Oryzias latipes: one gene and its partner. The protein of the gene in region 1 interacts with the protein of each later gene in a biochemical or structural test. Links are inferred from orthologs where the notes say so. Each region holds a gene or a part of one and is shown on either strand. Other genes may lie near its edges.

What was found.
Region 2: the proteins of tdrd3 (region 1) and top3b form a complex in vitro, tested with the Homo sapiens proteins (2 studies listed by BioGRID and IntAct, with this or other methods). The link is inferred for Oryzias latipes from reciprocal best matches to the Homo sapiens genes TDRD3 and TOP3B.

Annotation. Positions count from the first base shown.
Region 1 is NC_019861.2:15,641,400-15,657,378, reverse strand, and holds the end of tdrd3 (tudor domain-containing protein 3), read left to right. Parts: intron 1-673; coding exon 674-758; intron 759-2,708; coding exon 2,709-2,774; intron 2,775-3,231; coding exon 3,232-3,392; intron 3,393-4,434; coding exon 4,435-4,576; intron 4,577-4,698; coding exon 4,699-4,770; intron 4,771-5,795; coding exon 5,796-5,945; intron 5,946-6,960; coding exon 6,961-7,113; intron 7,114-7,682; coding exon 7,683-7,860; intron 7,861-7,981; coding exon 7,982-8,107; intron 8,108-8,609; coding exon 8,610-9,535; intron 9,536-9,679; coding exon 9,680-9,805; intron 9,806-9,968; coding exon 9,969-10,085; 3' UTR 10,086-10,662; downstream 10,663-15,979. UniProt on the Homo sapiens protein: Scaffolding protein that specifically recognizes and binds dimethylarginine-containing proteins. Plays a role in the regulation of translation of target mRNAs by binding Arg/Gly-rich motifs (GAR) in dimethylarginine-containing proteins.
Region 2 is NC_019867.2:30,366,043-30,382,563, forward strand, and holds the end of top3b (DNA topoisomerase 3-beta-1), read left to right. Parts: intron 1-897; coding exon 898-972; intron 973-1,052; coding exon 1,053-1,249; intron 1,250-1,510; coding exon 1,511-1,667; intron 1,668-3,024; coding exon 3,025-3,138; intron 3,139-3,406; coding exon 3,407-3,497; intron 3,498-3,637; coding exon 3,638-3,792; intron 3,793-3,899; coding exon 3,900-4,005; intron 4,006-5,737; coding exon 5,738-5,884; intron 5,885-6,933; coding exon 6,934-7,107; intron 7,108-7,219; coding exon 7,220-7,348; intron 7,349-7,480; coding exon 7,481-7,630; intron 7,631-7,895; coding exon 7,896-7,996; intron 7,997-8,257; coding exon 8,258-8,459; intron 8,460-9,121; coding exon 9,122-9,309; intron 9,310-10,845; coding exon 10,846-11,127; 3' UTR 11,128-11,173; downstream 11,174-16,521. UniProt on the Homo sapiens protein: Releases the supercoiling and torsional tension of DNA introduced during the DNA replication and transcription by transiently cleaving and rejoining one strand of the DNA duplex.

The DNA of each region.
Region 1 (15,979 bases):
ATAAATAAATAATTCATTTTTTTAACATTAAGGAGTAGTCACATTTATTTTTCATTAAATTTAGTTACATGTATAAGTTATATCTGGCCTTTAGGGGACAGCCACTATGCTGATGTGGCCCTCGGTGAAAATGACTTTGACACCCCTGCTCTAAGGCTTGTGTCTTACTGTCAACAGATTGTGGATGACTGTGATGTTTAGGGATTTTCTTCTGTTTGTTTGCCTAAAGGTTGAACATATTAACTCATCATTTGCTGGACATATGTCATATCTGGCTCAAAACACGTGTAGATTGGTCACTGAAGTGTCAAACTACTGTCAATATAACATCTGTGAGTCCAGTAACTCATCAGAGGGAGAGAAATCTAAAATACTATATCTAACTATCTAAAAGTAAATATACTACCTCACTACAGGAAGTATTTTTAAAGTTGGCCATTATTCGTCGAAATTAGAATCACTCGTTGGGATTTATCTCTAAAGACTGTGTAAAAAGACAAACACTTTGGATAAATGGTATTTTTAAAGCTAAAGTCCAACACTTGAAGTAAGATTGACGCTCTTACTTTATTTTTTACAACCTAAAGGCTTTTTTGGTTTGAAACATTTTCCAGTGTTATAGCTGGAGCTTCAGGAGGTTTTAGTGTGGAATTCTTATTGTTTGTCTTCACAGGTACCTCACAGATGAAGGCATCGAAGAGCTGAAGGGATCTGCTGAGAAACTGACCCACAGTGACATCATTCACGTTGCACTGGATGTGAGTTTGAGATGTTTGCTTTTGTTCTTTAAACGCAATGGGCTTTCTTTTTGTTTTGGTGTGTGTTTGTAGGTGTATGTGTGTAGTTGAGGCTGGTTTTGCATTGCAAATTGTTGTAGGACCCTGCAACACCATCACAATAAGTAGGATTGAGACAGGCTAGGCTGGAAAGGGAAGAAAGCCGTGAGCGTGCTGCACGCATGACACATTCTTTGCAAGCTCAGCTTCGGCTGCACTCGCTCTCTCTCTCTCACCCTAGCTCTAAAGAGTCGGACTTTTCCTTCAACTCCTTCCCCTTTGATCAATTAGTCATTTGCTCACATCCTGAAATGATATCAGAAATGAATGTGAGGACAGGTACATATTGATTTTTCCTCCTTTTTTTGGAGAGGTGGGGGTGTGTGGACGTTGTTCAGAAGGAAGTGTTATCGTCTTTCAGTCAGAAAGTTTCTGTATTGATCCCTCCCTTCGGCTTTAGTGTCCTTGGGCACTGCATCCCGTTTTGGCCCCTTCTTAAAACGTTTATAACATGAGAGTCCCTATGAAATGAATATCCAATTTCATTCCTGACATTCTTGATGTTCATCTGCTTACATTGGTTTGCATTCAGAAATGAAATTTACTGAACTCCAGCTTCTTTTCTCTAATAATGTATATTAAAAACATTTTAATGCTGCAGTTTCATACTTTTTACATTGTAATGACATAATAAAATAATTGACATAACAATTTCCTTTAAAGCTCTCTACATAGTCATGTGCAGCCTGCCTGAAGAGATCAAAACCCAAGGTAGAGGTTGAATTATTAGTGACGAAGCTGCTTATTTACCTGATGTCTTTTTCTTTTCACTAGATTATCAGTAATTAGATTAAAAAGTCTGAATGTACAGCCTTTAGTGGACATGGATTGACTTGAACTTTCTGTGAACAAAGGCGCTTTAATGTGACAGAGGAAGTTAGTCAATCATTCATGCTGTGCCTCCCGCGGATCAAGAAGGAGATGTCTGAAAACGCTGCAGGCCGTCCGACTCACTGCAGTGCGCTGCATCTGCTCCCCAATATATCTACGTCCGGCCTTTGGGTTGTGTGTGTTTAGTTGAGATGTTGAGTCAGCAAACTACTTCTCCCTTTAAATGCTTAATTAAACTGAGGGCTTTAAGGAATTGGTGGCGTTTCGTGCTGAAATATCAAAACGTAAGGGTTTCTTGTTAGTGTGATCTCATCAATAATGATGTTCTGGAGTGTCATTAATGGATCCCGGTTCTCCTTGGTTCTGCTCTTCTCAAATGTACTGGCTTGTTCTGTCACATGAAGAAGTGACAGGAATACTTCCCCCAAGTGACAGCTCATGCAGAGCAGCATTATGTTGGTGGTGATGATGATGATGATGATGATGATGATGAGAGCTTCACGTTCGCTCTGCACTCTGTCACTCAGGCATGATGGAAAAGAATCCATGTGCACACACACGTTTGCCTTTCATCAGTTGACTGATTTAGCAAATAAATGACAGCTGATTAAACTAAAGCAAAAAACAAAAACTAGATTGATGTTTTCTAGTAGAATCGGTGCGATTATTTACTTAATTAAATTATACATTTTGCATACATTGCCGGCTGTGGGGGGTGAAATGACTATGATATTTATATTGTATTTCAGCATTCTTGATATTTTTAACACATTCCTTTGGCATTTTTCTAAATATATAGGTTAGATATTAAGAAAATTAAGCTCAAAATTGCATATGTGAGAATTTCTTTCAAAGTATCTCATGTAATTATTTAAGTGAAAAACTGTAAGAAGCTTGAATGAGAATGATTGGTTTGGTTAAATCTACTCAGAACTCCTTCCTTCAATTTAGTGTCAATTTTCAAGAACTGTTAATATCCACAAATTGAAATATAATGTTTTGTTCGTGCATTTTTGTTATACTGTTGTTATTCCCTTGCAGACGGATCTTAGGCCTATCGGAAGCAAGATTTTACCATCTGATATCAACAGTGGAAAAACAGAGAAGGTAGGAAGAAAGAAATCTTGCAGAAAATGAAAACTGTGTTAAGCTGTAGTTCTCAGGATCACCACTAGATGGTGATGACACTCTGCCAAATGATCATGAAAAAAATGGTGGACCTTTTACTAAAACTGAAGGTGGTCATCTTAAAACACAACAAATTATGATTAGTTTTGTTTTCTTTATCCTGGAATTGCTTTGCACGCTTATTCGACTTTGTTTTTATGTGAGCACAAACTTAAAAATAATAAAAAAATCATGGCTTAAGGCAGTAATTCTGCACTGATAGGTAACGAAATAGTTTAACAGGCAAACGCTAAGGGTAACGTATACAAACATACTATTTTTATTGAAAAAGGTAAAAATGTTATCCATTTTCTACTGTATTCGGCTTCCTTGTAACTTGTGTTGCTGGCGTGTCTGCTTTATAATCGATCCTTCTTTGTCTGTTGCACATGGCTAGCTGGAGGGCCCATGTGTTCTCCAGGTACAAAAGGTGAGAAACATCTCAGCCCCCAAAGACAACGAGGAGTCCCAGGGTGCACCGCGGATGCTGCGCCTACAGATGACAGATGGGCACACCACCTGTGTCGGATTGGAGTTTAAACATCTGTCCAAGATTAGGTATGCTGCATATTTGAACAAACGAGGAGTACAGTTAAATGCAGCTGTCAGGGCAGTCATCACTGGTTAAAAGGGTTAAAAATCATACTTATTCTACAAATGGCTAATTGCTAAATAAACGGCATGATGTTTGGTACGCAGATCCTGGGGCATTTAGCCAGCTTTTATATTTAGAGCTAGCGTGCTAATTGCGAGCACACTCTGCTCTGACACCCTGTCAGCGCTCTCACCGCACCACACGCCTGGATTGTTTTCCCTTTATCTGCAATTTCCACGTAGTGGCAGCTGATCTAGCTGCTCCCGGCCTTAATTACATCTCCATCCAAGCAGTGGTGGCCTTGGTGATGGCTGCCATGGTGACTCTCTCCAGCCTGTACAGGTGGAGTGGCCAGAATGTGGGTGTTGACTTCCTGCTGGGATGAGAGGAGAAAACCGAACAAATCCCCTCTTTATGAGCGGCGCACACACACAGACTCACACACACTGGCAGCCAACAACAGTGGTTTGTGTTTATTGCTTAAAGTGTCTGTAAGCGCGTGGAAAAGGGGATGAAGGACTTGAAGAAAGTCAACTATTAGGTTGCAAGTTGAATAGCATGTTTGTCTGTAGTTGAGAGAAAAACAACAACCAGTGTCTCATTTCTGCACTTGCCTCCATCAAGAGAACACTTTCTATCCCAAAGGTTAAGAGCAAAATCTGTAATTGTTCCTTTGGCTTCCTGCATCAGGATCTGGAAATCCCTCTAAGTCTCAGTGGTTTCCTAATGAGACAGGCAGAGGCCTTATCAGGCCTGATGAGATAGAGGCGCTTTTAATTTACCATGAGGATGGGGGAGCAGCTGGGATTATTAATGGTCTCTTCTAGCCGTGCCACCCATCTGCTGACAGAGCTTCATGCCTCATGTCATTTAGAAAGTGCTATCAGGAAGGCAATGGGATGTTTTTGCCGTTTTTTTAATGTGTGAGAATCACGCTTTAAAAAGAGTTTGTGTTGCTTTGCTAAAACATGTCTTATTTAAGCATTGTTTTGTTGTCCTTTTCAGTCTGAATACACCCCCCGGAACAAAGGTGAAGCTTCTTGGTACAGTCCAGGTTAAAAATGGTTGTTTGCTTCTTGAAGATTCAAACATCTTAGTCCTTGGAGGAGAAGTTGAGCACATGGTGGAGAAATGGGAGCTCCAAAGGGTGAGATTGTTTTTTTTTTGGCTTAAAAGACAATATCTAATTTTAGCAATCATTGCTCTTTTTATTTCATTTGGGCTTACATAGCTTTGAACATGGAGTTGTCTTTCTTCCTCACCTTGCAGAGTTTGGCAAAACACAGCAGGAGCAACATCGGAGCAGAAGGGGGCCCACCTCCCTTTGTACCATTTGGTCAGGTGCGAAAAAGTCCTGCACGCTTTTAAACAAACTTCAACTTGTGTCTAGAAAAGGCCAGCTTTAAGCACGGATGTTTAAGAAATGGAATTTCAGCCGCAGCTTTAAGGAAAGCTGGGAATGATGAAGGTATTCAACAAGTCAGACAGGTCTGGCCTTGAGTTTCTTTTCCCCGCAGTGTTTCCTTTGATCTTTTGAAGCATTGTCTTCATAAATCTTTGAAATAGTTGGACAGATCTACAGTTCAGCTTTGGGCCTTACCTATAACCCGTGGTGCAAATGCTGCATTAGGGTTTTATACAAAAGTGTCTGGAATTTAAAAGAAAAACAGCAAAGAAAGAAAATATGGCATGTTTCTGTGAGTAATCTTTAAGTGGGTAATATAGCGTACGTGTCCACTTGTACACTTTAAATTGACAAATAGTTGCTTTCTATTCAAAGTTTAAAAGTGGAAACAAAAGCATAAATGCTTTTATTTTTTAATTTTTCTTTTAATTTTGTGTGTTTTAAAAGGTTAAAATGTGAGTGATTTTGTGTCAAGGTTTAGCATCTTTATCTGCTCTGGAATTGACATTTTTTTTAATTTACAACTTTGCATTCCTAATGTGTTTAATATCTGGATGTTGTCTCTAGGAATCCTTTTTTATCCAATTCCATTTTTTTGAATTTGTCTACAGCTGAAGAAATCTTTGAGTAAATCTGCTCTGTGCTTTACTAGAACCAGACTTATTTTCAGTTTGTTGCACAAGACATTAGAAAGTCTGAGTTGTAGAAGATATGGCCCATTTTTCTGCAAACTCTAAATATTCTAAACTTCTTTGAGAAATATAGTCTCTTTTAAATTGTGTGAAAATTTGGCATTTCCTTTGAATTCCTTTTTTCTCTATTGTTGAGCTGTTGTGTATCACTGATATTTGCATATCACCAAGGAAATGTATTTAAATTGGTTTTGACACCATTCTGTATTGTGTTACAGTGTTTCTTTGTTCAAACGACTAACAGAGATCTGTGTTTGTCCTCGGAGCAGAAGTGTGCCCGGAAGGACGAGGTAGACAGCAGAGAACTGGACCAGAGGAAAACCCTCCAGACGCAGAATGTGGTCAAGAGTCCCGACGAGAACGACGAGTTTGAAAAGCAGCGAACAGCGGCGATCGCCGAGGTGGCCAAGACAAAAGAGGTTTGTCAATGTTTTACGGTCACTTTACGGTTTCACATTAATTACTAAAACACACAACAAAGGTATCAAGAGAGCTTAAAAATCTGTGTTAGCAGTAATCTAAAAATAGAAGAATCTTAAAGCTTCGATGAAACTTGTTTTTCTGATATTGTTAACGAGTTCTTGTGGCATTTTTCTCACAATGGAGGACTTATATAAGGAAAATTAAGCCCCTGCCCCTCTATATTCTGATCAATCCACTTGCAGACAAATAGATCCAAATACACTTTGTTTTTACTCATCGGAGCTGGAATCTGCCTCAGAACTGCACGGCTGAATAGCTCTAAAATTGCTTGCCAGTTTTTATTGCAGCGGTAATGTTAGGCTGGGGGTTTGAGGGGCTGTAATCTAGTGGGAGAGAATGTAAACCCAGCAATGGGCGGGGGAAAGAGGGGCGAGGTTCCTCTGCCCCAACAGTTCCGCCCACAAATATCACGCAGCCTTAATCTGTGTTGGTGTTCCACTGATTTCCATTTTATGTGAATGCAGTAACCCCTTTTGGGTGCTTTCTGAAGCTTAAAATTAATCTTCCAGAATGAGGGTAGCTATTTTATTTGAAAGGAATCTAAATGCTCATGTAGCTGTTTTTTCTTCAAAGCGGTTATACATTTTTTTAAAAACACATTTTTACCCCTTTAACAACAAAACTGAAAGCACATTGAAAAAAACAGGATTTTCATTATTTACATCCTTCCTCATCACATCTTTAATGCCTTTAGACAAACTGTATTCTTTAAACTAAATTCTATTTTCTCAAATGATGCACCACCTATTTTGGTTACCAGCTCAAATACATGCAGTTTGTTGACATTTGCATTAACCTTCGTTGTTTAAAAAAATGGACCTTCTTAACATTCATCAGAAGAAGAACTTATAATTACAATGTCAACAGCAATATTCTTCTTTATTTTCCTTTCTTTCTCCTTTTTCCCGGCTTCCCATGATCACAACTGTTGTCTTCCTCTTTCCTTGTTAGGGTCCCCGCAGCTTTGGTGGCGGCGGGAATGCGGGCAGTAATTTATCCAACGCTGCCTCCTCTTCCCGAAGCAGAGATGCCAACCAGCAAAGGAGACGTGAAGACAAATTTGAAAAGACAGAAAGCAGACCAGAGGGAAACTACAGAGAGCTGGTGAGATGACCAACATTTATACTTTTTTTAACGTTTAAAGTTCAATACATGGGTATTTCCTGACAATAGTAATGCCTCCTTGCACCGTTAAAGGAGGCAGCAGGTTGCTCTTCTTTATTTCTTCACATTTTTGAACTGAAGTCTTGTTTCATCGTTTAGAGGTCGTCTGACACATTGACCAATGTTAAAGAATGTAAATGAACTTGAGGTCCGTCTGGTTTTTAAACTAAGCTGGAGTTCATTTGTCTCTTTTTGTTGCTTTGCATCATGAAGTTGTAATTGTCCCGCTTTAGGCTGAACACATAAATGTCTTCACGGGTTTAGATGTGTGTTGCAACACATCTAAACCCGTGAAGACATAAGCCTGTTTTTATTAGGCCTACCTTTTTAAATTGAAATATGCACTACCCTGTAATTTAAGCTAGATTTAAAAAAAAAAAGGGGAGGTGTTCCTCATGCATCGTATTTATTGCTAGCCATGAGTCTACTCCTTCTCTCCAAAGCTATACACTTTTCCCGTCTTTGGTGTTTTTTGATTGTTGACTGTGCTCCGTGTGGTTGGTGGGCAGGTGGACGAACGTGCTCTGAGAGACCTCATGGAAATGGGCTTTGACAGAGAGGCAGCTCGACAAGCTCTGCTGGATAATAACAACAATGTTGAAGTGGCTCTAAACAGTCTACTGACCGGAAGTTCTGGTGGCCGACCCGGCTCTACGGTGGCTGAATCAAACAAGTCCCAACCCAGAGGTTCGTACACAAACCACAACAAAATCAATTCAGAAAGTCGTTTACGTTTCTCAAGTTGTAAAGTGGTGGTTTTTGTTTAGCCCCCCCTCCACCTGAGCTGTATGCTTAATTTTGACTTCAGGAAGAGGAAAGGGAAGAGGCAGATCCAGAAACGAAGACGAGGATGATGGGGTTGGAGGAAGACCTTCTGGTCCAAGCACTCTGTTTGACTTTCTGGAATCCAAAATGGGGGCTTTCTCTGTGGATGGTGGGTGAACATCTTCATGATTCTGCACTTGGAGCAACATCATTCAAAGTAAAACAAAGTAAAGCCCCACATCTCATCTGCAAAGACGTCTAATAAATGTCCAGAAGTTTTTGCTCAGTGATCTGTAGCACCTTTCCCATAATGGCCATAGACGGAACGTAATAATTGTCATTTATAACTTGGGTAATTGTTGAACTTTATGTCTCTGGGGGTTTTGCCTAATAGATGTTTTATATTAAAACAGGTTACAGCCATCAGATTACTTAGAAGTTTAGTTTTGTTTAAAAAAAAGAACTTTTGCAAATGTTTCAAGACATATTGGGTACTTGTTCTCAAATACTGTTTTCAGTGTTGCTTCCCAGTAAGATTCAACTTTAAAGGCAAATGTTAGTCGAGTTGAGAACATCCTAACTCCTGCAGAGCATCAATAAAACATGGAACATTGATGTTCTAACCTTTCTTTTCCATTGTTTACATATTTTTTGCTGGCGTGTTTTCCCAGATACAAAGAGTCAGACACAGCTGAGGAACCATGAGAGCAAAGCAAGTTTCTCCAACACAAGCTACCACACCAAAGAGCATTCTCAGCCCAGGTTTTCCTCACACTATGAACACAAATCACAAAGGAACGACAGGCCGCCAAGATTTAACAAAGACACAGATTTTCCTAAACCAGGCCAGGAGCACATCCCTAACCTAATGAGCTGTCCAACGTCAGCTCCATCTCAGCAGTGGAGGAGCCAGGAGAGGTGGCCGCGAGGAATACCAGATCAAGCGGTTAATGACAGGAGACAGACAAGAGATGATCAGACCGTTAGCTCTACCACTTTGCCAAAGCACTCAGAAGAACCTCAGCAGAAGTTGGAGTTTAATGGATCTTACCACCAACAATCCAGAAATAGAGAAGGCGGCTCAAATACGTCTGGGTTGTCTCAAAAAAGAGGGATGAAAAACGACGGACCCTCACCTAAACCAAGTCATTCTGCAGGAAATGATGCAGATGGAAGAGGAAACAATAAAGAAGCCAACAACAGCAGGAGGAAGCCAAAGGTTGACCGGCAAAACTCGGACCACTTTGACAGACAAAGAAATAGTGGCCAGTCCAACTTTAATTCAAAAGGAGGGAGCTGGGGGACTCAGGAAGGAGGATTTCCACAAACTCTTTGCTCGTTGACAGGGGTTCCTTCTCATTTTCAAAACGGAGAATTAGAACATAAAAGAACTGGACCAATTAAGCCTGGAAACATGCCCTGTACTCCAAACAGGGAGCAGCTACCCAGAAGAAATATGCCTCAAAACTCGGGACCGAAGAGAAGACCGGGCCAAGGTAAAGGTCAAGGCCCTCGGGGACCAGACAGGAATCAAATCCCAGAACATGGATGGAAACCCGGAGACCAGTGTCTGGCGCTGTACTGGGAAGACGGCAAAGTAAGTTTCCGTTTCACGTTTCTGTACAACCAAACAAATGTATTTTTTGGAAGTTTGACATATAGTAAAATGTTGATTCAAACAGTGCTGACTATTCATAGAGACAGCAGTGTGACATTGATGCCTGTATGTGTCTTCCTGAAGTTCTACCATGCAAGAATAGACGCAGTGCATCCATCTGGCTCCACAGCTGTGGTTGTGTTCAGTGACTATGGAAATTGTGAGGAGGTCCTCCTGGAGAACATCAAACCTGTGTCTGCTGACATGTTGGTAAGGAGAAATGACGTTTCATTACTCTGCTAATGAAGTTGCAAACATGTTAGCAAGTAGTAAAGAGAAACCAGTCGGGCAGGATTTTCGTGAGGGGCTGATCAACTGCAGGTCTAATGAGTCGCAGTAGCACGCCATATTTGTGTCAAATGTTCACTGGCAGGAGGAAGATGACAGCTTCTACGACAGTTCACTAGAGTTTCGCCGTGGGGGAGATGGACAGCCGAGACGAACGAGGCCCACGCAGCAGTACTACCAGCCCCCCAGGGCGCGTGATTGAAGTGTCTGTGTTTTTACCTGCGCCGGTGAACAAATGAAAATTGGCCTTTCGTTTTCACAGAAAATGTTTTGTTTTGAGAACTGTTATGCATTTCTCCGGCTCTGTTGGAGAACGTGCGCGATGTGTCCCGGTAACGTTGAGGATTCGTTTCTCAGTGACTGGCATTTCTGTCAGCTTGCATCATAATTGTCTCCTGCATTGGCATTTTACATAACAAAGTGGTTTTGGCTCATTTTCCCTTTTAGTGCAATTTAATACAAAACATATTTGCGGGGTTTAACTGAGGTTACGAGGATCCCATGATGCCATAAACATGAAGAGAAAACATCAGGACTTTTGTCAATCCTTTTGTTTTTTGCTTGCTTGTCCTTCATCCCAACACCTCCTGCAACAATCCAGAGTGCTTCCTTTATTTTTGTCGTCCACATAATCAGGACAGAATGTCTCAAAGGGCTTGCACATGATGCTGTAATAAAAGAACTGACATGAGCTCCTGTATTATTTGGGGAAGATCATCTATTTGTTGTGAAAATTTGTTAAATGGATGCATTGAAATAAATGACTAAAACCTACCAAGTAGAGTATTTGCTGTCTTTTTTTTTGGTGCCTTTTATTATTTAACTTGCATGATACAGAAACTAGTGTGGGGTAAAAAAAAAAAATTATCCTCCTCAGCAACTGTAACCCTTGTGCTATCTTAGATGACCCCACCCTTACATTGACGTGTTCTCCCTACCATGACAAAGGTGGATAAAGGTGGAAAGATTTAATGTAATCCATGGACACCAGTGAAGATCACAAATCATTGAAGAAAAAAGGTTCAGCGCACTGTCTAGGATAGCACAAGGGTTAAAAGTGGTATTTTCCTCATTTAGACAGAACTAGATTCATAGAATTATCCATCTATCTTATCAGAAGCTGCTGTATTTCTTTTGGGGTCACAGGGATGCTGGAGCCAACCCAGCTACTGTTGGGCGGAGGCGGGATACACTCTTAAGCCTTGTGCTATCCTAACAGCTCACCAGTCTGTTGCAGGGGCCGGCAATCCTTTTGCACATCTAGGGCCAATTCAGAGATGCCAATGTTTTTGGAATGTGGGAGGAAGAAAACACACAAAGGCACAGGGAAAACATGCTGCCCCCTTCATAAGATTCTATGGCATGAATCTAGGATTTCATGTACTGATAATGTAAAAGAAAGAAATGCAACTAAAGCAGATGTGCAACCAATGAGGCACCTGAAGTGATCAACTTGTCAAAGGCCAAATAGGAAGTGAAACTTAAACACAAGTAAAACTTGCACAAGTAAATTGTAATTGTATCTGTTTTTAAATTCTATCTTTATGTGCACTGGCTCTACAAGTCCCCAGCAAACACCCCTAGCTCATTTGTTGTGTTCTTTGAAGCAAATCCAAAGCGTAAGAGAATCTCTATCCCCCTGTAATAGAGATAGTTTCACTGCTGAGATATCATTTTGCACATTACAATAGGAACTGTACCCAGCTTTTTGCGCACACTCTTCTGGCTGTTTGTAGCCATGCGCTGCTCAGCAGTTTCACACATGAAGGAATAATCTCCGCCTCAGCTCCTGTTTCTTTTTCACCATCAGCAGGAGACAAAGCAGACAATGCAGGCAGGTTCAGAAAGGAGGTCACTGTGTGATTCTGTATCACTCGTCCAAACGGTTTGCTTAATTTCCAAGTGACGTGCCAAGCAAGCACGCATGAATAATTAACAAACGGTAATATGGAAACCTATCTACAAGAGAGGAACTGAAAATGAACCTGTTTGAAAGTGTTCGGGGGGACTGTGACACATTCATGGTGAATGAATACATAACTAATTGATTTTCAATCAGATGAGTGCTAACATTTTGGTAAGCGGTTACAGCGACCATTTTTGGGTAATATTTACATGATTATAGATTGCAAACGAACAGGAAGTAAAAAAAAATGTGAAAAGAATCTTGAATGCATCGCAAAAGGTTTATTCTTAGAAATGATAAATATGTAAGAATTAGTTTTCTTAAAGCTATTGCAGAAGTTCATAAAAATATTTCTAGGTTTTAAGAGATAAAAGATTAGGATAGCCCTTTAGTTGTCCCACAGTGGGGAGATTTCCACTTTGCAACAATAAGAGTAACAGCATGTACAAAGAAATGTGTAAATGATGTGTCACATGTTTAGACAAAACTAAAGAAGGGAATGGGTTATAAATATAGCCCAGTGAAAATATTGCACAGTTCAGAAATAATTGTACATGAATGAGGTTAACAATGTAATAGTAGTAACTAGTAACTGGATTTACTGGGGGAAATTGAAAGAACCGACCTTCGATGTCTTTACTTCAAACGCTTAAGGTGTAACAGATGCCAAAGGAGCAGCTTAGTGATGACACCGTGGGTGTTGTTCTCCATCAAGGATGATAGTATGAGGACCATCCTCCGTTCCTCACCAGTTTGAGATGCAGACCTCTTCATAAAAGATGCCTAAGACTACCACAAACTCACATCAGGTATGTAAAAGTGGTTCATACACTCCAAAAGACCTCAGTCTCCTCAGCAAATAGAGTCTGCTCTATTCTTTTAACCCTTGTGCTATCTTAGGCACTTTAACATTGGGAGTTGGGTCAGTTAGACCCTTACACGTCAATGTAAGCGTGGGGTCATCTAAGATAGCACAAGGGTTAACAAATGGTTCACTAGTTCGATTTTGTGTTGAGGTGAAGACCCACGTTCTAAGAGTCCACACTCCCAATGTCCTCTTCCTGGATGTTCACCATAGATAATGCAGAGTGTCTGAGGAAATCCACTACCAGCTCTTTAGGTAAAACAATTCAATCATTTATGAAGAATGCTTGAGTTATCAAGAAAGTGAACTTTTCTTTCATCGGGTAGAGTTCTTGATGCTTGAGAAGCACAAAAATTAAATCTCGTTTTTCATGTTTACATAACTGTACTGCTGTGTAATCTGAGTGCTGAGATCAAAGGGAATCTACAGACATGAATGTTGCACACATTTGTGTGTGTGTGTTTGACACGACTTTATAGTTCAATATGATCTCAAGTGCACAACATTCTACAAAACATTCTGATTGGATTTTACAGGAGTGGATTTACAGAGGCGATGAAATATATTGGTGCAGCATTTCACTTTTTAATGTTAGCGCTTGACGGCTTTAAGCGCAGTCAGCTTCAGTTTGATTGCATTTCCATTTATATTGGATTATGAGATGTGGGAATGATTTCTTAGTGGTTAGCACCGTCTCCTTGGAACAAAATAGTAATGCATTCAGGTTTGACAAGAATGTTCCACTAACACTCAAATAGGTGTTGGTGTCGGCGAAATTGCAGCCCAAATTGCTGTAGACAACAGACAAATGCATGCTGGGACAACTGCTGTTTTCACTGTTGCTCTGTTGACCACACAGATTGATTTTCAAACTGAAACCTGACAACCCTACAGCAGCAGGAGGCCTGCTTTTCCTCCTCCAGAGGGAACATGCCTCTTTCCCACATTAACATCCCCTTTGCCGTGCCCCTTCGTTTCCCACCTGCCTGGCTCTCATATCACCATTCACAAGCGCTGCTCTTTATCTCCGGGCTTACCTGACCCCTAACCTTTCAACTCTTCACCATAGTACCTTTGTCACTGTGCCACCTGAACCAGGTGATCCCGTGAAATGTATTCTTTCTTACATGACGTTTACATCGCCCCCAACAGGCCAGAACTTTCTGTTCCTCTGACAGAGGGGGTGAGGGGGGATTAGAAAAAAGCCTATTTGAGAGTGGCTTTCTAGAGAAGAATATTTGGTTCCCAGGTGGTGCAAGTACTGTAGCAGAGGGGCAGTAACTTACTCCCTGGGCGAGTAACCCCACCAGCCCCCCCCCCCCCCCCCCCCCACACACACACACATACAAAATTTGACAACATCCTGCTGTGTTCCCTATCTTCTATTTAGCCATTTTACACAAAAAATGCATGAATTTTCTAGACTCGTATTACAGGGGGGTCAAACTCAGTCACACAGGGGCCTAAGTTAAAAACACGCTTAAGGTTTTGGGCCGAAGAAGATAAATGTTTACTGAAGACACTAAAGCTAAACTTTTGAACCTTTTAAACTGAACTTTTTGAACATAAATATGAATAAAAACAGGAACACAAGTTAAACCTTAAATAAGTTGTAATATTTTGTTCTCCATATAAATATATTCTGTCAAAATTATACAAATATGAACATGCTGCAGGACAAAAAGCAAAGAAAGCCTGGAAATATTAATAAGAAATTATATCAAATAATTCCATTTTTTTTGCTCTTTCATCATTTTTTAGAGAATTTTTTTTTAGAGCTGGACTCCTGCTTCATTTTTAGCAATAATTTCTTAATGTGTGACGTCCTGTGTGTGTCTTTGTGAAACATATCAGAGGGATTAGATCTAAAAAATAAAACTTATTGTGATTAATATGTTTAGGTCTTATAAAACATTAAAGACTAAATCTTAGAACTCATCAGTGGGATTACTCCAAAAATATTTGGCATTTCCCTAAATTTGTGCAACACCAACAGCAGAAATCCTCCAAAAAACCTCAATCCATAAAAAATGGTCTGATCTCATCCCCCTCCCCCTCCCCTTCCCTCTGACACACGCGGCTCCGTCTCTATGACGGGAGGCGCAGCTGCGGCCCAGAGTTGATTGTCAGATAGAAAAAGACTCCCAATCACCTGTTAGTGTGATTAAGCCTGCCACCGGCGAGTTGCGCTCCCCTCTCGAGTTTTTTGACTTATGTTCCAAAGACTACCGCAAAGAGGTGTGGCCGCAAGCGTCTTGCAGCAGAGGGCGGTGGTCACGTGCGCATCGGGTCTGCTGTGTCGGAGCAAAGAATTGTGGGAAATAATCTCCATTGCCTGCTTTTTTCGAAATTGGGTTGAGCACGGGTGTTTGTTCTGCCTAATTCCTTTTCATGTGCCTGTTTTACGTTGTTTCACTCTGAGGTATTCTTTTTTTTTTTTTGCACCATAAGTGTGAAGACCAAATAGGAGGAAGACATTCTTAAGAGTCTGATGTGTCAAACTAAAAGCATTAAGTGTCGGCTGCTGAAGCAATTTCAAATTAAAAGCTCCAAGCTTCCTCTTTGAATATAATATGTAGCACATTAGGTGTAACGCCTCAGGCACGGCAAATGCCGCCCCCTATGAAGTGCCGCCCTGGGCGACCGCCCACATCGCCCATATCAAAAACCGCCACTGCAGAGGGGGCAAAATAACTTTTGTCTTTAAAGATCTACTCTCATGAAAATTGTGATTTTAGTGTTTCTAACATGCCCTGTGACATTTTTCTAATAATGGAGGACATGCATAAAGAAAATTTAAGCTTATAATTGCATTTCTGAGTATTTATTTTCTTATTTTCTTTTAGGTTTTGAATCAGAAACTTGTAAATGTGACATAGAGCCCACAAGCTCTCTTCTTCACTCCATTCTGATGCATCCACTTGCAGACAAAAACATCCATGTATCTTTTTTGCCTTCTTTGTTTGAGCTCACATCTGGCTCAAAACTGTACGAATGGATAGCTCTGATATTGCTCGCCCTTTTTGTTGCACCAGTAATGTTAGGTAAGGGTTGTGAGGGGCCCTAAGTAGAAAGAAAAGTAGGGGTGGGCTTACTCCACACTAACAGTGGGGATTTTCTAAAGAACTACTGCTGCTCTGCAATAACTGTCCTTGAAAACTATACAGGTTTTTAATTTTATTTATATTACGGCATGATCATAAATAAAAGACCACTGAGAACTATTTTATAATAGATCAAAAGATGATCTGAATGGGACTTTAAAGATTTAGATAAAACATTTAAAAAATCATTGCTTTAAATAATTAAAATTCTTGGTAAGAAT
Region 2 (16,521 bases), on another chromosome or scaffold:
GTACATGAGCGGTATGTGTGGGAGATTTAAGACTGCGATCCGTCCCGCAGCTCTAGGGGTACAAGCAACCGAACTCAGAACCGGGTCTAAGTGCGTGTCTGAGCACAGCTCGGATCGTCAGCAGAAACACAGCGGTTTGAGCTTCAAAGCAGAAATGTCGCTCAGTCCTTAGAAAACATTCAAAAAATCACGCGGATTTGTGTTTCCAGTCGTGTCCCGACTAAATAAAGTCTGATGTTATTCTTACATGTTTACGTGCAGCCAGCAAGCAGCACCACCCAAAGCTAATGTTGTTAGCCCGTGTTAGCATACTGCTAATCCTGGTTTCGTTCAGAAAAAGCACTGACCACACGGATTAAAATTAAAATGATGAGCGAACAGGTGTTTCATAATAACCGTAACATTATTAAAAGCAGGTTTAGAAGATCGTCTCGTATATTACCGAGCTGACATGTCAATGTATATAGCCGCTCGGCGCTGTTTAACAATGTTTTGTATTGAATTGTTACATACAATAAAGTTTGAAAAAAAAAAGCCGCTCGGCGGAGTTTATATCCTTCCGTTTTTCAAACCCTACTGCGCATGTGCGAATGATTTATTCCGACGGAAAGTGTGACCTTAGTGAACGTTTTTATATTCTGAAAACATTTTTCTGGGCCCATCTACACGGTTGGATTCTAATCTGACCATTGATCCCATCAAGATATTTTGTACATGTAACCGCGGCTTATGGTGTCGACACGCAACGTGGCGGGGGCGTGGCATCACGATGGTGGTCTCTCCATCGGGATGTCAGTCACCCATCACGATGGACGATGATATCGTCCATCGGCACAACCCTAGAGGGCAGTGGGAGGTGTCCAGCTGTGTCTGGCTGCAGGCTGTGGGTGTGTGCAGGTGGAGGCCAGAGGCTGCGACTTCGTGGTGCTGTGGCTGGACTGTGACAAAGAAGGAGAGAACATCTGTTTCGAGGTAACCCTGGAGCAGCAGCCATCATCTGCTGATTCCCATGGCCTTAAATCAGTTAAATCAACATCGGTTGCGTCCCACAGGTCCTGGACGCCGTCCAGCCCGTGATGAACAAAGGCGGAGTCAGGGAGCAGACGGTTTTCCGAGCCAAGTTCAGCTCCATCACGGACACGGACATCTGGAACGCCATGAACCGCCTTGGAGAGCCCAACAAGAACGAAGCTCTGTCTGTGGACGCTCGCCAGGAGCTGGACCTGCGCATCGGCTGCGCCTTCACCCGGTACGCCGCTGCGCCCTCCTCCACCCTAAATGGACTGAAGATGAATTTAAGAAAGGATGTTTGACTCAGGATGAGCAGATTTCCTGACATTTGTGATGCCCTGCAGGAATGGTCACAGACTCACAGCTAATATTACTCCCTTTATCAGAAGAGTCCGTATTTGTTAGGCAACAGCTGGAGCTGTGTGTCAGCAGCTCCTCCCGGTTCTGTCCATCCTCCCTGAGCATCACCTCCTCCTCCCGTTTTCTGTCTCCTCCTCAGCTTCCAGACCAAATACTTCCAGGGTAAGTACGGAAACCTGGACTCCTCCCTGATCTCCTTCGGGCCCTGTCAGACTCCAACTCTGGGCTTCTGCGTGGAGCGTCACGACAAGATCCAGTCCTTCAAACCGGAGACCTACTGGATCCTGCAGGCAAAGGTACCCGTCCTTTCAAAGAGGGAATCTTTATGGTGACGTAACGAAATTCAAAGTGCATTCTTTATAACAAACTATATAAAATACTCACAAACAATTCTAAAATAAATACTGACTAGACATATAAATTCAGAAAGACTAGAGTCTGCAGAGTTAATGTGGTTACACATTAATAAATAAATAGTTCTTAATTTGTGTTATTGTTTGTTCCTCTTTTGCTACCCTGAATGTGTTTTTATGTGTTTTATAAATAAAGTTTTAAATTGATGATTGAGTTTGTGCTTGGTTCTGACTGCTGTCCAGGATCACTGACTGTATAAGAGAACTGGACTGAGTGGCTCCTCCCCCCTGGCGTTCCAAACAGGCAAAATCCCGTAGACTTCTATAGAGAAATAAACAGCTGCTACTCAGTCGTTCTCTTGATCAGAAGAACCATTCTAGGTCTGATATCTGTTTTTTTTAACATCTTCTTGATAATCTTCATTTTTTTCATGATATTTTTTTCTGTAGTGCAAGTTATTCAATCTGACCAATCAGATGCCTGAATAAAAGCATGTGATCTGACGTCAGACATTTGAAGCATTTGATTGACGGATTCTCCTGAGCAGTGGTAGGGGTGCAGTCTTCCAGTGTAGACCGACTCGGACCAATCACTGCTTACTGACTATCTCTGGTCCCAACACGGCGACTTCATTTGCTTGGAGCCAGACGTGAGTCATTTCCTGTGGGTGACGTCACACTCAGCTGTTCAGTTCTCTCATATACAGTCAATGACCGGGACTGAGCAGCGTTCGATCCTCTGGAAGCGTCTGACTCCTCCCCCTGGAGCTGAATGGAAGTCAGTCTCAGTCTGCAATGAAACCCTCCAAACTGTTCTGGTCATCTTTTATCTTTAAAGCAAAGATTTTTATTTTTATTTTTTTAAAGCTGACATATTTTGATGATAAGTAAAACTGATGACTTTTTAAATAAAAATATGTATTTGCTGTTAAGTAAACCTGGAATCAGGTTTGAAATCATTTTTAGCTCTTACTGAAAAATGATCCTAATCTCGCTCAAATTCATATTATTATGTTTTAGCTGTGATTGATCTGGTATATTTTTATGTTGAGGAATCTTCCAAACATCCCAGTTTCTCTGAATTCAGATAGTTCTCGTGGCATTTGTTAATTCCAGTTGGAGCTGTGATTCTGCCTCCTGATAAGCGCACAGTTACAGTCTGAGGTCATGTTGGGTTTGGTTCAAGCTTCTGGTCTTGGTTGATGCAGAACTCTGCAGCCTGAATTCTCCCCAACCCAGCGGGACATTTGAGAAGGTCTTATGTCCAAACAGCAGCTCTGACCTGCTGGGTTCTGCTCAGGTGTTCAAGGGGAAGGACGGCCCGCTGACCCTGGACTGGAGCAGGGTGAGGGTGTTTGACCGGGAGGTGGGACAGATGTTCGTCAACCTGGCCAAGATGTCTAAAGAAGCCAAGGTAGGAAGATCATGAGCAGTGCTGGGTCTCTGTGACCCGGTACAACCCACCTGAGGCTCAACACACACTCCTAGACTCACAGCTACACAGTAGTGAGATGATGAAATGGTCTCTGATGATGGACCAAAACACACACAACCCAACTTTAGAAACACCAAACACTAGGAGTGATGCCGGGTTTTATTTTAGTGGACCCATAAGGACCCGGTTCAGAACTTGCTGATGGAGAACCTGGTTCTGAACCGGATGTCCTGTGTTTTGGATGCAGGTGGAGGCGGTGAGTCAGAAGGAGAAGACCAAGCAGAGACCTCAGGCCCTGAACACCGTGGAGATGCTCCGAGTGGCCAGCTCTGCTTTAGGTGATCCTCTCCTCATCCATTGATGACCACGAATAACAATAACTAGCATGACTAGCATGACTGCCATGACTCGTTCTTGGAGTCATGTGACTAGCATGACTTGTCCTATGACTCGTATGAACCTTGTGGTTCTGTCGCAGGAATGGGCCCCCAGCACACCATGCAGATTGCAGAGCGCCTGTACACCCAGGGCTACATCAGCTACCCCCGCACAGAGACCACCCAGTACCCCGAGAACTTTGACCTGAAGGGAACCCTGAGGCAGCAGGCCAACAGCCCCATGTGGGCCGAGGAGGTGAGCTGCAGTGGGGGTGGGGGCTCAAAAACTCCTGTGCTTTGACCTGTAAGCACCTCTTCTGAGGCTGCAGCTCAGTGACCCCCCCCCCCGCTATCGTTCATCAGGTTAAAGCCTTGCTGTCGGCTGGACTGAACCGACCCAGGAAAGGAAATGACGTCGGGGACCACCCCCCCATCACCCCCATGCGTGCAGCCTCAGAGGGAGAGCTGGGTGAGTCGGTGGGGACGGGGGAGGGATTTAAAACGAATCACTGATGCAAGAAAAGAAGACCCCCCCCCCCCCCCCCCCCCCAGGTTCTGAGAAAGCCTGTCACTTCTGACATCTTAGGAAAATGCAAGAATTTATCACAAGGTTCTAAAAAGAATTTCAAAATGCAAAAAGAAGAAAGAAGGACAAGAGAACTCATATTTTTGGCTGCCAGTTTATTAAAAATAACAATTTTAAAGAAAGAAACTGATCTAAAGTTAAGGACCACGTCCTTTAAAAGCCAGACTTTGCCCCAAAATCTACATTCAATGTTGTTTTCTCCAAAGTAATCGTGGTAGGATTGTTGAGCGGCATAAGGAACGCCTCTCACATCCTGCCGTCCCTGCTGAGGTTGGACGCTGTAAAACTGGAATTTAATTTCTTTTATAAAAGATCCTGATGGTTATGGAACAAAAAAGGTCAAAAAATGTTACTGGGAGGATCCAAAAGGCTGTTCGCCATGACACGGGACGGTTCTTGACCCAAATGAAGACGGTGCTGACTGTACCGATCAGACGGCGTCTGCGAGAGAAGGACTTCTAAAACAAAGGCCAAAGGCCACGCCTAGGCCACTTGACTAGGGAACGCCAAACATGGGATGTTTGAAAGTGGAAGAACGTCCTCTAACTCGGACGGTCCTGACCTCTGTCTGGCATGACATGAAATGTTTTCTATGCAGCACAGTGGAGGCGCCATCATGGTCTGGGTTTTTTTTTCCTGCGGGTCACAACACCCGCCTGACCGCGGCGGACCCCACTCTGCTGCATGTTTGAATCCAATTGGATGGACGTCCTTCATGAAGGACCTCTTAGCAGAAAGCCTTATGGAAACACATCAATGAGTTTTTTAGGTGATCATCAAGATGGGCGGAGCTACTCAGTACTGAGGTTTTTTTAATTCTATGGTCCAAAACCTTTGATCAGCGGATGAACAACCCATTTCTGTTAACCCTTGTGCTATCTGGTGGGGTCCAGATGACCCCACTCCCAAGGTGAATGTGGCACCTCCACACGCATGCATGTGTGCGTAGTCTTGGCGTGCCTTTGCTAATGCAAGCAGGTACATCCACACTTAGCTGGGGGGGCGCTAACACCCCGTAACTCATCAGACCCGCTCTGTCCTGCAGGCTCTCACTGCACACGGATTCATGCTTTTCCATTGCATGCTGCAGTTCATTTGAAGCTTCAAATCTGCGGTTCCGACCGCTAAAACTTGGATTTAAGGGATTGGTTCGGTTCTGGACAGGAGGACATCACAAAACCATCTGTTGTTTACAGTCCAAAGAACAGAAAACAACAGCAGAACAGAGCCGCCCGCTGTCTGGTTCAGGACTCCGCACATCTACCACGGCCTTGAGTTTCTCCGTTGTTGGGAGCAGATGGAGGTGCTGCACACAGAAAGATGTCCTCTGAGGTTTGCCCCGCCCACTTTGAGGCTGGATTTCAAAAATTCAACCTCGACCAAGAGTGAAACTTTACCAGAATAGAGAAAGAGCTTCACAGTTCCCCGCTTTGCTCAAAGAAACTTTGATATTTGACTGGGTTAGCAGGGAATCGAACCACTTCTATAATGAATCACAGCATAACTAAAAATCACAGCTCTGACCAGTGCGAAGGTTGCGAGCAGTGATCCTGAACTTGGGCAACAATATTGGGTCTTCAGGATCTCATCCGGATTGTCCTGTGCTGCTCTGCAGGAAGTGACGGCTGGCGGCTGTACGAGTACATCACGCGGCACTTCATCGCCACCGTCAGCCAGGACTGCAGGTACCTGCAGTCCACCATAGAGTTCAGCATCGGCACGGAGCGCTTCTCCTGTGGAGGGAAAACGCCCATTTCTCCAGGTGAGCTCAGAGGGAGCAGATCTTTGTGACAGAGCTCGGTTCTCTGCAGCTTCAGAAACGCAGAGAAGCTTCTTTTTTGTTTTTGAAAGATAAATTAATTTTTAAAAAAAGCACTACTTTTTTCATAATGTTAGTTTTTCTGTTGGTTGTATCTCCATAGCAACCATTCTATTTTTGGGTTGCTCAGGAATAACCGGCAGATCTACGTACTTTTAGAAAATTAAGCAAAAGTACATTTTTGCAGTTCTTAGGCAACAGACCGTTCTGGTTAACCACGCCCACATTCCTCATATGGTCATACTGTACGTCATATCCCTTCATTTAGTCACTGCGTATGTTTTGCTCATTTTCACGTATCAAATTTCCGTCTTTCGTGTATCATGCGTGATGTACTTGACGTGCTGCTTGCATTCCTCATACATCGATGTGCGCAGATGTCCGGTTTGGAGTTGTTCAGAATTTTTGGTCGGGTGAGAATTACGCCGTTTACGCATTTTTCTCATAGTTTCTACACAGTGATACCAGGGTCCGGGTGAATTCATGATTCTGATTGGCTGCTGGAAGCGGACATAAAGTGATAGTCCACAGAGATAACGCACCCCTAAAAAAAGAAGTTCTGGTCACATAGCTTTGATGTTCTGTATCACTGCGCCGGCTTCTTTAAAACAAACGTTTTCTTTATCATCTGGACATACATAAACAAGCGGTTAGAGGTGAACTTTCTCTCTGAACTGATGCTTTATTTAACCCATCGTGACCATCAGCATATATTTGGCTTTCCTTTGCTTCTGCAGTCGAGGTCCGTCGCCACTCAGCGGGCTAAGCGGCGCGTTGTCATGTTACCGTGACAACCACACCAAACAAGAATCTCCTGAAGGAGAAAACAGTTTGAAGCCAAGAAACCTGAAAAAGAAGAAATTCAGATTCTGGGGTTCCTCAGCGTTCACACAAACATGAGAGGAAACGCGATGGAAAACCCTCTGAGCATTTGAGCAGCTCTGGTTCTGTGGACTAAGTGGGCGTGGTCTTGGATCTGTGCTCTCCTTCAGGTTACACGGCCCTGATGCCCTGGCAGGGCGTCCCGCTAGAGGAGGCGCTGCCGACCTGCCAGCCCGGAGACGCCTTCACGGTGGACGAGCTCCGCCTGGTGGAGAGGCAGACCGGCCCCCCGGACTACTTGACGGAGGCCGAGCTCATCACGCTCATGGAGAAGCACGGCATCGGTACCGACACCCGCCTCGCTGAAACGGGCCGGGCCTCAGAGCTCTGCGGAGCAGAGTCGTGACGCCCGAGTTCTTCCCAGCGCACTCACATGGGCTGTCCTTGGTATTGCAGGGACGGACGCCAGCATCCCCGTCCACATCAACAACGTCTGCCAGAGGAACTACGTTACCGTGGAGACGGGGCGCAGGCTCAAGCCCACCAACCTGGGTGTCGTCCTCGTGCACGGATATTACAAAATCGGTGAGCGCACGTCTGAGCTGTGACCTCCGCGCCGCCGCTGCATCAGTGGCCATGGCAACCGGCACAGGCGTCCTTCAGCACAGCTCATCCGCACTCATGCACCCCCCCCCCCCCCCCCCCCCCCCCCCACAGACGCAGAGCTGGTGCTGCCCACCATCCGCTCCGCCGTGGAGAAGCAGCTCAGCCTCATCGCGCTAGGGAAGGCCAACTTCCAGCAGGTGCTGCAGCACACGCTGGACATCTTCAAGAGGAAGTTCCACTACTTTGTGGACTCCATCAGCAGTGAGTCCTGCGGAGGCCCCGCCCCCTTCTCCTCTTCCTCACTGATGGGGTGTTCTTCATTTCATTTTAGAGAAAATGTTCTCAGAATGCAAAAACAAAACCAATATTTTGAGTAAATTTCTTGAAGATGCAATTAGAAGCAGAAGAACCGGAGTGTTTGTTCTGATAGAACCATGTGGTGTACGTAGACTCATTCCGGACAGTCTGGTTCTGATCGTTTGGACTAACAGAGGACTGGACTGATGACGGGCTGTTGCTCCTGCAGGCATGGACGAGCTGATGGAGGTCTCCTTCTCCCCCATCGCTGCCACGGGGAAGCCCCTGTCCCGCTGCGGGAAGTGCCACCGCTTCATGAAGTACATCCAGGTGAGCCGCGAGCTGCACATGCTCATGTGTCCATAGGGGGGCGCTCACAGGTCACGTGACCCGTCCATCCGATCAGAACCCTGTCATCTCTGTGGGTCATGAAACAGAATTCTGGGATCAGGACTGTCCTCCTGGATTAGTTGAGCTGTGCCCTCGTTGTCCCTCCCTCTGCCCGCAGCAGATGTTTCAGAACCGGTCCGGTCTTTGGGTTTCTGTTAACTCTGACCCAGATCCCAGCTAACGTCTGAGCTCCTCCTGCAGGCAAAGCCCAGCCGGCTCCACTGCTCCCACTGCGACGAGACCTACAACGTTCCCCAAAACGGCGCCATCAAGCTGTACAAGGAGCTGCGCTGCCCTCTGGACGACTTTGAGCTGGTTCTGTGGACCTCAGGGGCGCGGGGGAAGAGCTACCCCCTGTGCCCCTACTGCTTCAGCAACCCGCCATTCAGAGACATGAAAAAAGGTAATCTGATTACCTTCTTTAGTTTGTGGTTCTTCATTTAAGGTTCTTCTTACCTGAAGGGCTTATATCATGCTTTTTTAAGCTATATCCATATATATGATCATATAGGACCTTTGGCACACTAAAGAACCATTTCTTTAAAAACGGCATATTCGTGGTTAAAAAAGCTCTAGGAACGCTTTGACAACAGATCAGACGATGATGAGAGGGACTTTAACAAACTCTAACTATTAAAGCTCAGAGTTTCATAGTTTTTTGTTCTTCATCCGTCCATCTCTTAGAGGTGGGTCCTCCTCCTCTTGACGGACACTCATGTACTTTTACCGCGTTGGAAAAGTCTTTTGTCAGAGGCAGAGCCAAAGGCTCAGCTCCCTCAGAAACCACAGGTTTCCATGGTAACGGGCCTTCAGCAGCAGCAGCCTGGCTGTTTTTACCGCGTATGCCGCTAAAGCACTTTCCACATGACCGTCTCACATTTACCTCTTGTTCTCACGGAGGGAGGGGGCTCGGTTTCCGTGACGATAGATGGGTTGTTGGTGGTAGGAGGTGTGCGTACCAGACGTTTCTGCACCGTGTTCTGAGCTCAGCAGAGCGTCGGGTCACCCAGCCTTCGGACCTGTGGACTGATGTGTGTGTGGGGGGGTCTTCCTTTGTTCTTTTAGGTATGGGCTGCAACGAGTGCACCCACCCGTCCTGCCAGCACTCCCTGAGCGCTCTGGGCATCGGTCAGTGTGTGGAGTGTGAGTCCGGAGTTCTGGTTCTGGACCCCACCTCTGGACCAAAGTGGAGGATGGCCTGCAACAGGTGCAACGTGCTCGTGCACCTCTTCGAGCACGCTCACAAGGTGCAGGTGAGGACGGTCTTCCTTAACCGTGTTGCTCATGAGCACACCGGGCAACACATTTGGACCCATGAACGATGGTTCTGAAACACGTGCAGAAGGCAGCGGCTCCTGAACCAGACTGACTGAAGGACGGGCTCAAAGGCAAAGGGGGACTGGAGGCTAAAAAAAAAAAGAAACCTTACGTCCACGTCAGCCTCGTACGGGCCGGTCCGTGACGTTAAACCGGTCTAGGATCTAGATGACTGCAGAACCACATGATGCTGCTCAGAACTCCAGATTCTGAACCTCTTTTTTTTCTTTAAAGGAGTGGATTCTGTAAGATTAAAGCTTTTTAAACTTTCCCTCTCCATTCCTACCGGCTCATATTGATTTAAAAGTACCGGTACACGATTCTGCTGCAGCGACCCGCTCCGATCGTCTCTTGATCTGTTTTTAAACGTTCCAGGTGTTTTTTTGTTTACGATGATGCAGTTTTTAGCTAAAATCTAAATACCTGTGTCGTTTGCTAGGACCTAGTTTCTGCTGAGCAGCAGTAGTTCATTGGAAAGGTCCCGCCCCCCCTCCCTTCCCCTCCCTGTTGTTGAGAGCTTAGAGTAGGAAGCCGATTGCAGTTTGTACACAAAAACTACGAGCTTTATAAAACTGCGTTTTTTTTTGTCTGCTCCTGATACACAGCGATTTAAACAAAAGAAAAATGTAAAAAAAAAAAGCAGTTTTCACTTTAATTGTCTTAATTATGTCGTCCATCATCAGAAAAAAGCCACAGGAACGTGTTAAAAACACTAATTTCATTCTTTTCACTCTTTTTATTCTTTTTTTTCCCATGTTGCTTCGATATTTATTTTGTGCAAATTAAAGGGCCTATATCATGCAATGACGATATCAAAATGCACTTTTGAGTTAGTTCCTCACTAAAAACAATCCTAAAGCGGTAATTTGATCCATTGATGCATTTCTAAAAACCTGCTCTCTGAGCGATGATCAGTTCCTCACATTGTGACGTCACGAAGTGAAGAACCGCCCCTTTCAGGAAGAGTCTGAGCTGCCAGCTCCGTCCCCAGGCTAACACACACGCCGACTTTCTCAGTGGAGCTAGTGCTGATCGACTAAACGCTTTTTATGTTTTAGAAAAAAAATACGCACTTCCATCTTTGCAAAAGTTCAGATGTTTGTTTGTTTTTGTGGTAGAAACGCTGCTGAGGCATGAAGAGAAAGGCGGAGCCTCAGAGGTCGAGTCGTCTTACTTCTGGGTTGGAAAATAGCTGCGAAAATAACAAATATTTCATTAAATAGGTATTCTTTTGTGTGTCAAAGGTTATGATACATGTTCATATTATCCTCTGAATAAAAGCGATATAGACCCTTTAAGCCCAGGACACTTCCCTGCTCTCTTCTTCTGCCAGCCCCAGCTGCGACACTCTGGGGGCCCCTCACCCCGTCTGCCATCCCTCATTTTCACCGACCTTCTCTTCTTCATGGCTAACATTCTTGCAGAGATGTGAAAATGTGGACCCTGAGGTTCTGATCCGGTTACCCTCACAGGTCTCTCAGGACAGCTGTGAGGTCTGCGACGCCTCGCTGGTCATGGTGGACTTCAACAAGGCCCGCACCCCCCTGCCGGAGGGGGACACGCAGCACACCGGCTGCGTCTTCTGCGACCCGCTCTTCCAGGACGCGGTGGAGCTCAAACACGCCTCCATGAGGCGCACGGCGCACCGAGGCGGGGGCGCCAGGCGAGGGGGCCGGGGGCGCGGACGCGGCCGGCGACCAAACCCTAAGAAGCCCAAAGACAAAATGGCTGCCCTGGCAGCATACTTTGTATGAGGGGGGGGGCGGAGTCCAGCAAGACCAGAGGGACAGTGCATGATGGGACAGTAGGGGGGGGGGGGGGGGGGTAACCGCTGCTTACAGCTCAACCTGATGTTGTGAAGGAGAATAAAAACTTAAAAACATCTGTTTCTGTGTTTGTTTAGCCCAGAGCAGCAGAGTTTCTCCCTCCTTTGATTTAACCAATAAAACACAAAATCAGACAAAAAGATGAACACAACAGCGCAGACACACGTATTTAAAACCCTAATAAAGTCTTATAAGTCTGTCTGTTCCCTGAAGGCACCAGGAGGATGAGGAGGAGCTTCTTGCTGCATTTTGGCCCTTAACCTAAAAACCTAACACCTGTATTCCTGGAGCCGCACACACACACACACAACACACACACACACACACAAGACACTGCAGCGGTTTCTGAACAGAAAACCGCACTATTCTATGGAAAATCTGCAAAGCAACGTCACTTTATACAATTGAAACATTTAGCAGCACATAAACACTTTTGTCACCTTAACACTGTTATATTATATTGGCATTTGTTGAAATGTCTTTTCATTCTAACATGAATCCTTTTATAGACTTCCTGCTCTTAGGCCTGAACAGTCATGCAGAATATTTCACTCGACTGTATTGTGGAGGTGACAAAAAATGGAATTTGGGCATCAGGTAAACAATAAAACAAGATCATGGAGGTCCAGACTTCTGCTAGTTTACTGTTTAATCCCCTTTTAAACACGGCTGTGGGGGTTCCTCCAGAATATTCTTTATTGGGGAGGGGAGGCATATAGGTCCACTAAAACATGAAACTGATTGGTGCAGCTGTGTGATGCTAAGCCCAAACTTTAAGAATCACCTCTCCAGTTCTAAGAAACAGTAGGAACCCTTGAACACAACCTGGTTTAGATCAGCGGTTTCAACACTTTTTTCTGAATCAAACTAATACAAAATTTATTTCCACTAAATTTTTCATTATAATTTTGAGTCATTTGATGGAGTTACATTTTGAAAATGAAAAAGCATTTCTGTTAATCCATTTTAACTGTCAAATTAGACATTTCTAAATTAAGTTTGCTACACATTTACCAGAGAACTTTTTGAAAATGAAATGTCAGATACCATTTTGATTTTAATTAAGTGACAGAATAAGCGGTGTTGAAGAAGAAAATGAAAAAGCATTTTGTTGGATTGCAGCTTCATTTTGAAAATGAAAAAGCATTTCTGCTTTTGACTTTTATTTTTAATTATGCCACAGAATCGCTTCCATACAGTAAAGTCAAATGTAATGACTGGTGGACAAATAGGACCAGACTGCCCCCTATAGGTGGAGGTTAGAGTTGTATCGACATAAGATGACCTCTGATTTACATGCTTGAAAGTATTTTAGTAATCATTTATTAATGTTAAAATGTCACACACACACATACATAGGAAAACAAAATGTAATTATATATATATACATAATTAAGATTTATTTATTTTTCATAGAATATGAAGATGACACAATTGTTTTCCACTCATAGTTAGTCGTTCGGTGAAGCCATTTACTATCAAAAAGTTCTCTTTAGTCTTTGTAAATCATAAACTACCCAAATGCCCCTATTCAAAAGTTTACATAACCCAATGACTTTGTTCTGAAAACATCCACACACAATCTGATCCAAAAGGGTTTGAATGGCAGCAACAGGTAACAATCCTCACCTGTGACTCGTTTACCTGTATGCATGTGTGCACAAAAGGTCGTGGAGTTTCAGTGCTGCACTGATATTTCTGGATCCTGAGTCGTGAGGAAAACTTAGAGCTGTCAAAGGATCTACGGGAAAAGGTAACCGAACTGAACAAAACAGGACAGGGATATAAGAGGATATCCAAGAAACTGAGAATGCCGGAATAATACCAGATCAAAGACCATCGCCATAATCTATTCTAGATGTAATAAAAGTCTGTTTTGATATTTCAGAACTGGTTCTGGACAGAATGGTCTCAATATGAGGCCATTCTGATAAAAGCTCCATGGGAGGCTCATCCGTTCATCTGGTTTTTTTGCATCATAAACCAGAAGAGGTCTGTCCAAACCTGGTTGTCACATGTTTGGAGCAGGAAACCGCTGGCGTGGAACAACAGCGTTCACTGCTGCTTCCACAGCTCAGACTGATGAGGATCAAGGCTCCGTCTTCCGTTTGGAGCTTCCAAAATCCGATCTTCCAGTTCCACATGAAGGTTTCTGACCAGCAGGTTCTGCACGAGTGAACGTCAGTCCTCAACAAACCAAAGCAGCAGTTTCTACAAACCTGGAGCTTTTTCTGATCAGACCCCCCCCCCCCCCCCCCCATTAATCCACTGTCCCCCCCATCCCAATCCAACAGAAAAACACACATTTTAGTCAGATTTTATTCCAGCAAACAGAAATTCTTCCAGCATCAAACTCTGACTGGAGTGTCTGTCCTGCAGCAGATGAAGTCTGTATTTGGTGAACGTCACTGTTCTGCAGCAGGTTGATCAATTTATCCAAACGATCATGGAGAAGTGACCAGAAGTCTCAGGTTCTAGTCTGATTTTCACGTAAAGATATTCAATGTTAGGACTTTTTCCCCGTTTATTTATTTGCATTTTCTAGGTTTTAAATTCATTCAATGGTTCTGAAATGTAGAATGCATTTGAGTTTTTATTTTAGGTTCATATCATACAAAAAATAATAATTAATTTTTATCTAAAATGTAATAAATAGTCAATGGGGTAAAAAGTACATCTGCTAACAGGAGGGTTTGCCTTCGAAAAACAAAGCATTTTTAAAGAAAAACATTTTTAAAAGACTTTGCTTTTCGATCAGCTGTTTTCCTTTAACTGGTCACAAGAGGAAAGAAATTACTTTACAAACAGAACCGATGTTTAAAAAACACTAATTAAAAAACAAAACTTTACAAAACCCAGATTTAATAGTATTTTTATTATATATATATTATATATATATATATATATATATATATATATATATATATATATATATATATATATATATATATATATATATATATATTATAAATCTAATAACTCCATTCAGTTCATTCATAATTTTGAAACATTTTCTGTTTTGGACCTTATTCTCAATTTGTTTTCTTCTTTTCTTTTCTTTTTTTAAATGTAATCTTTTTTATTAAGAACTTTCAGATTGTCATGGAAATGAGCAATAGTTCCTGATCAATTTATTCCTCACAGAAAGTAAAAGTAAGAACTTAATCCAAACTAATATTGCAATCATCTAATAAAACCTTTAATTAAATGAATCCCTGTAGTTTTTATTTTTTTACATTTGACTATAATTTATAAAGTTATTTCTATTTGTTTCTTTTTTGTCTTGTTTAATTTCCAGTGAGGCAGACATCACCAATTAATTTGTTTTTAATGTTTTAATTTTTGTTCATTCGTTGTTCTACTTGTTTTATGGTTTGATTTGTACCCACACATAAAAGCAAAAACACAAACTAAATAAAATAAAACTTAAACACAAAACGACTTTAAACAAATAAAACCAAACTTGGCAAATTTCACTTTGACAGAAAAGTTAAATAGCTTTTAGAAGACGAAGAGTCAAGATACAATTTTAATAAAATGTAGAGAAATCACTAAACTATACGAGAAACGTAATTTAAAGGTTTTTTTTAATTGGGGACATTTATTTTGAAAATAAAAATTAAGATAAATATCAACTAAACTCAGTAGTTTAAGTTTCACTTTTTGTGGTTTGATTTTTTAAAAATGAGGAGGAGCACAAGTGTCTTCCATAGGGATAGTAGCTTTGCATTATTATATATTTTAAATACATTAAATTAAATTTCGTTCTCTTCATGCGTCTCCATCCTGTTCATGGCACGCGCGTGCCCCTCCGCCGTGAGCACGCACGTGACAGAAGCTCCTGAGCTCCAGAACTGGAGCCAGAACCAGAACAATCTCCAGGTGGTCCGGACTGAAACCTGCCGAAAGCTGGTTTGCATCACGTTGTCTGGTTGGGGCTGCCCAAGTGCGAGCGCGCACCTCCCGCACGCACGTGTCCGGCTGAGCTCACGCATTGGTTCCAAGGTCAGAGAGCCACGCGCACGTGAGCTCTTAAAACTGCTTCAAATTTAGAGAATTAAGCAGAGAGCTCAGAACCAGAACAGGGCCTACAACCCATCTGGTGAGTCACGTGCGCGGATCCGCGTGCATCATTCCCACAGAGGAACTCCTTTCATCTGAGCTTCGCCTCCATATACGGGCATGGAGCTTCCTGGGGGCCCCACACTGGGAGCAAGCTGGAGAGCAGGCAGAACCAACATGAGCGCGCGTGCCTTACATAGCATCTGCAGGACGTCACCCCCACCCCCACCCCCAAAAAAGAGTGAAGCGCGCGTGCTACTAACTCCCTGAAGAACTCAGGCGAAAACACGACCGTTTCTGGATTTCCCGCTTCACTCGTGACCCGCTCGGTCCAGATTCTGAAGCGGTTCGGTTCCTCCCTCTGCTCGGTTCGGTGCGCGCGCGCACGGCAGCGCCAGATTTGTGAATGAAAAACAGGATTTGTGTTCATTGTTAAATTAAAGTCCACCGTGACGTCACTGTGGTTTGCGACCAATCCGGGAGAGCGAGAGAGGGGCTGCAGCCAATGAGAGCGGAGGCGGCCGCGGCCAGCAGCCAATCAGAGGCCGGCATGCAGATGCGGCTGCGCTCCAGAAGCTGAACGTCAACCAGCAAAGATGGAGTCCAGAACCGCGAGGCCGCAAAATACCGACCCACCGGAGGACCTTCTAAAGAGGGGGGGCACCGTGAGTCTTTCCCGGGGACGAGAACTGGACCGGATCGTGCGTGCACGCGCACACTGCGGAGCGGGAGGCTTTCTCGCTGTGGGACGCGCTTGCGCTTCTCCGCGCGTGCCTCCCTCGGACCGGCCCTGCAGGTACCAACAGAACCTCCTGGCCCGAAAGCGCGCGCACACGTGGATGTCGCGGTTCTGATTGGCCGCAGACATTCAGACCATGCTGAGCTGCGGAGCGCACGCGCGTGTTTTTACCAGAGTGGAAGCGCGTGCGTGTGCGTTGAGAAAACCGTGATTGACAGGTGGGTGAAAAACGCACGCGCCCGTCCGCCGGGCGGCAGGAGCAACGGCGGACTCTGGCTCCGGACTGCAGGAGGTCCGGGTGTTCTGCAGGCCCGTTCGGGTCAGAGGTGGAGGGTTCAGATCCGCTGGGAGGCCTCATCATGCTGAACATCCACAGAACCAAGGGGTCGGGTTCTGGGTTCTGGTTTGTCCTTCCTGTTCCAGAACAGGACCAGCTGGGTTCAGGTGAACGTCTCAGTGGAATCCACAGCCTTCCTCTAGTGGGGGGCTTCAGGGGCTTCAGGGCTGCTGGGACAGGAATA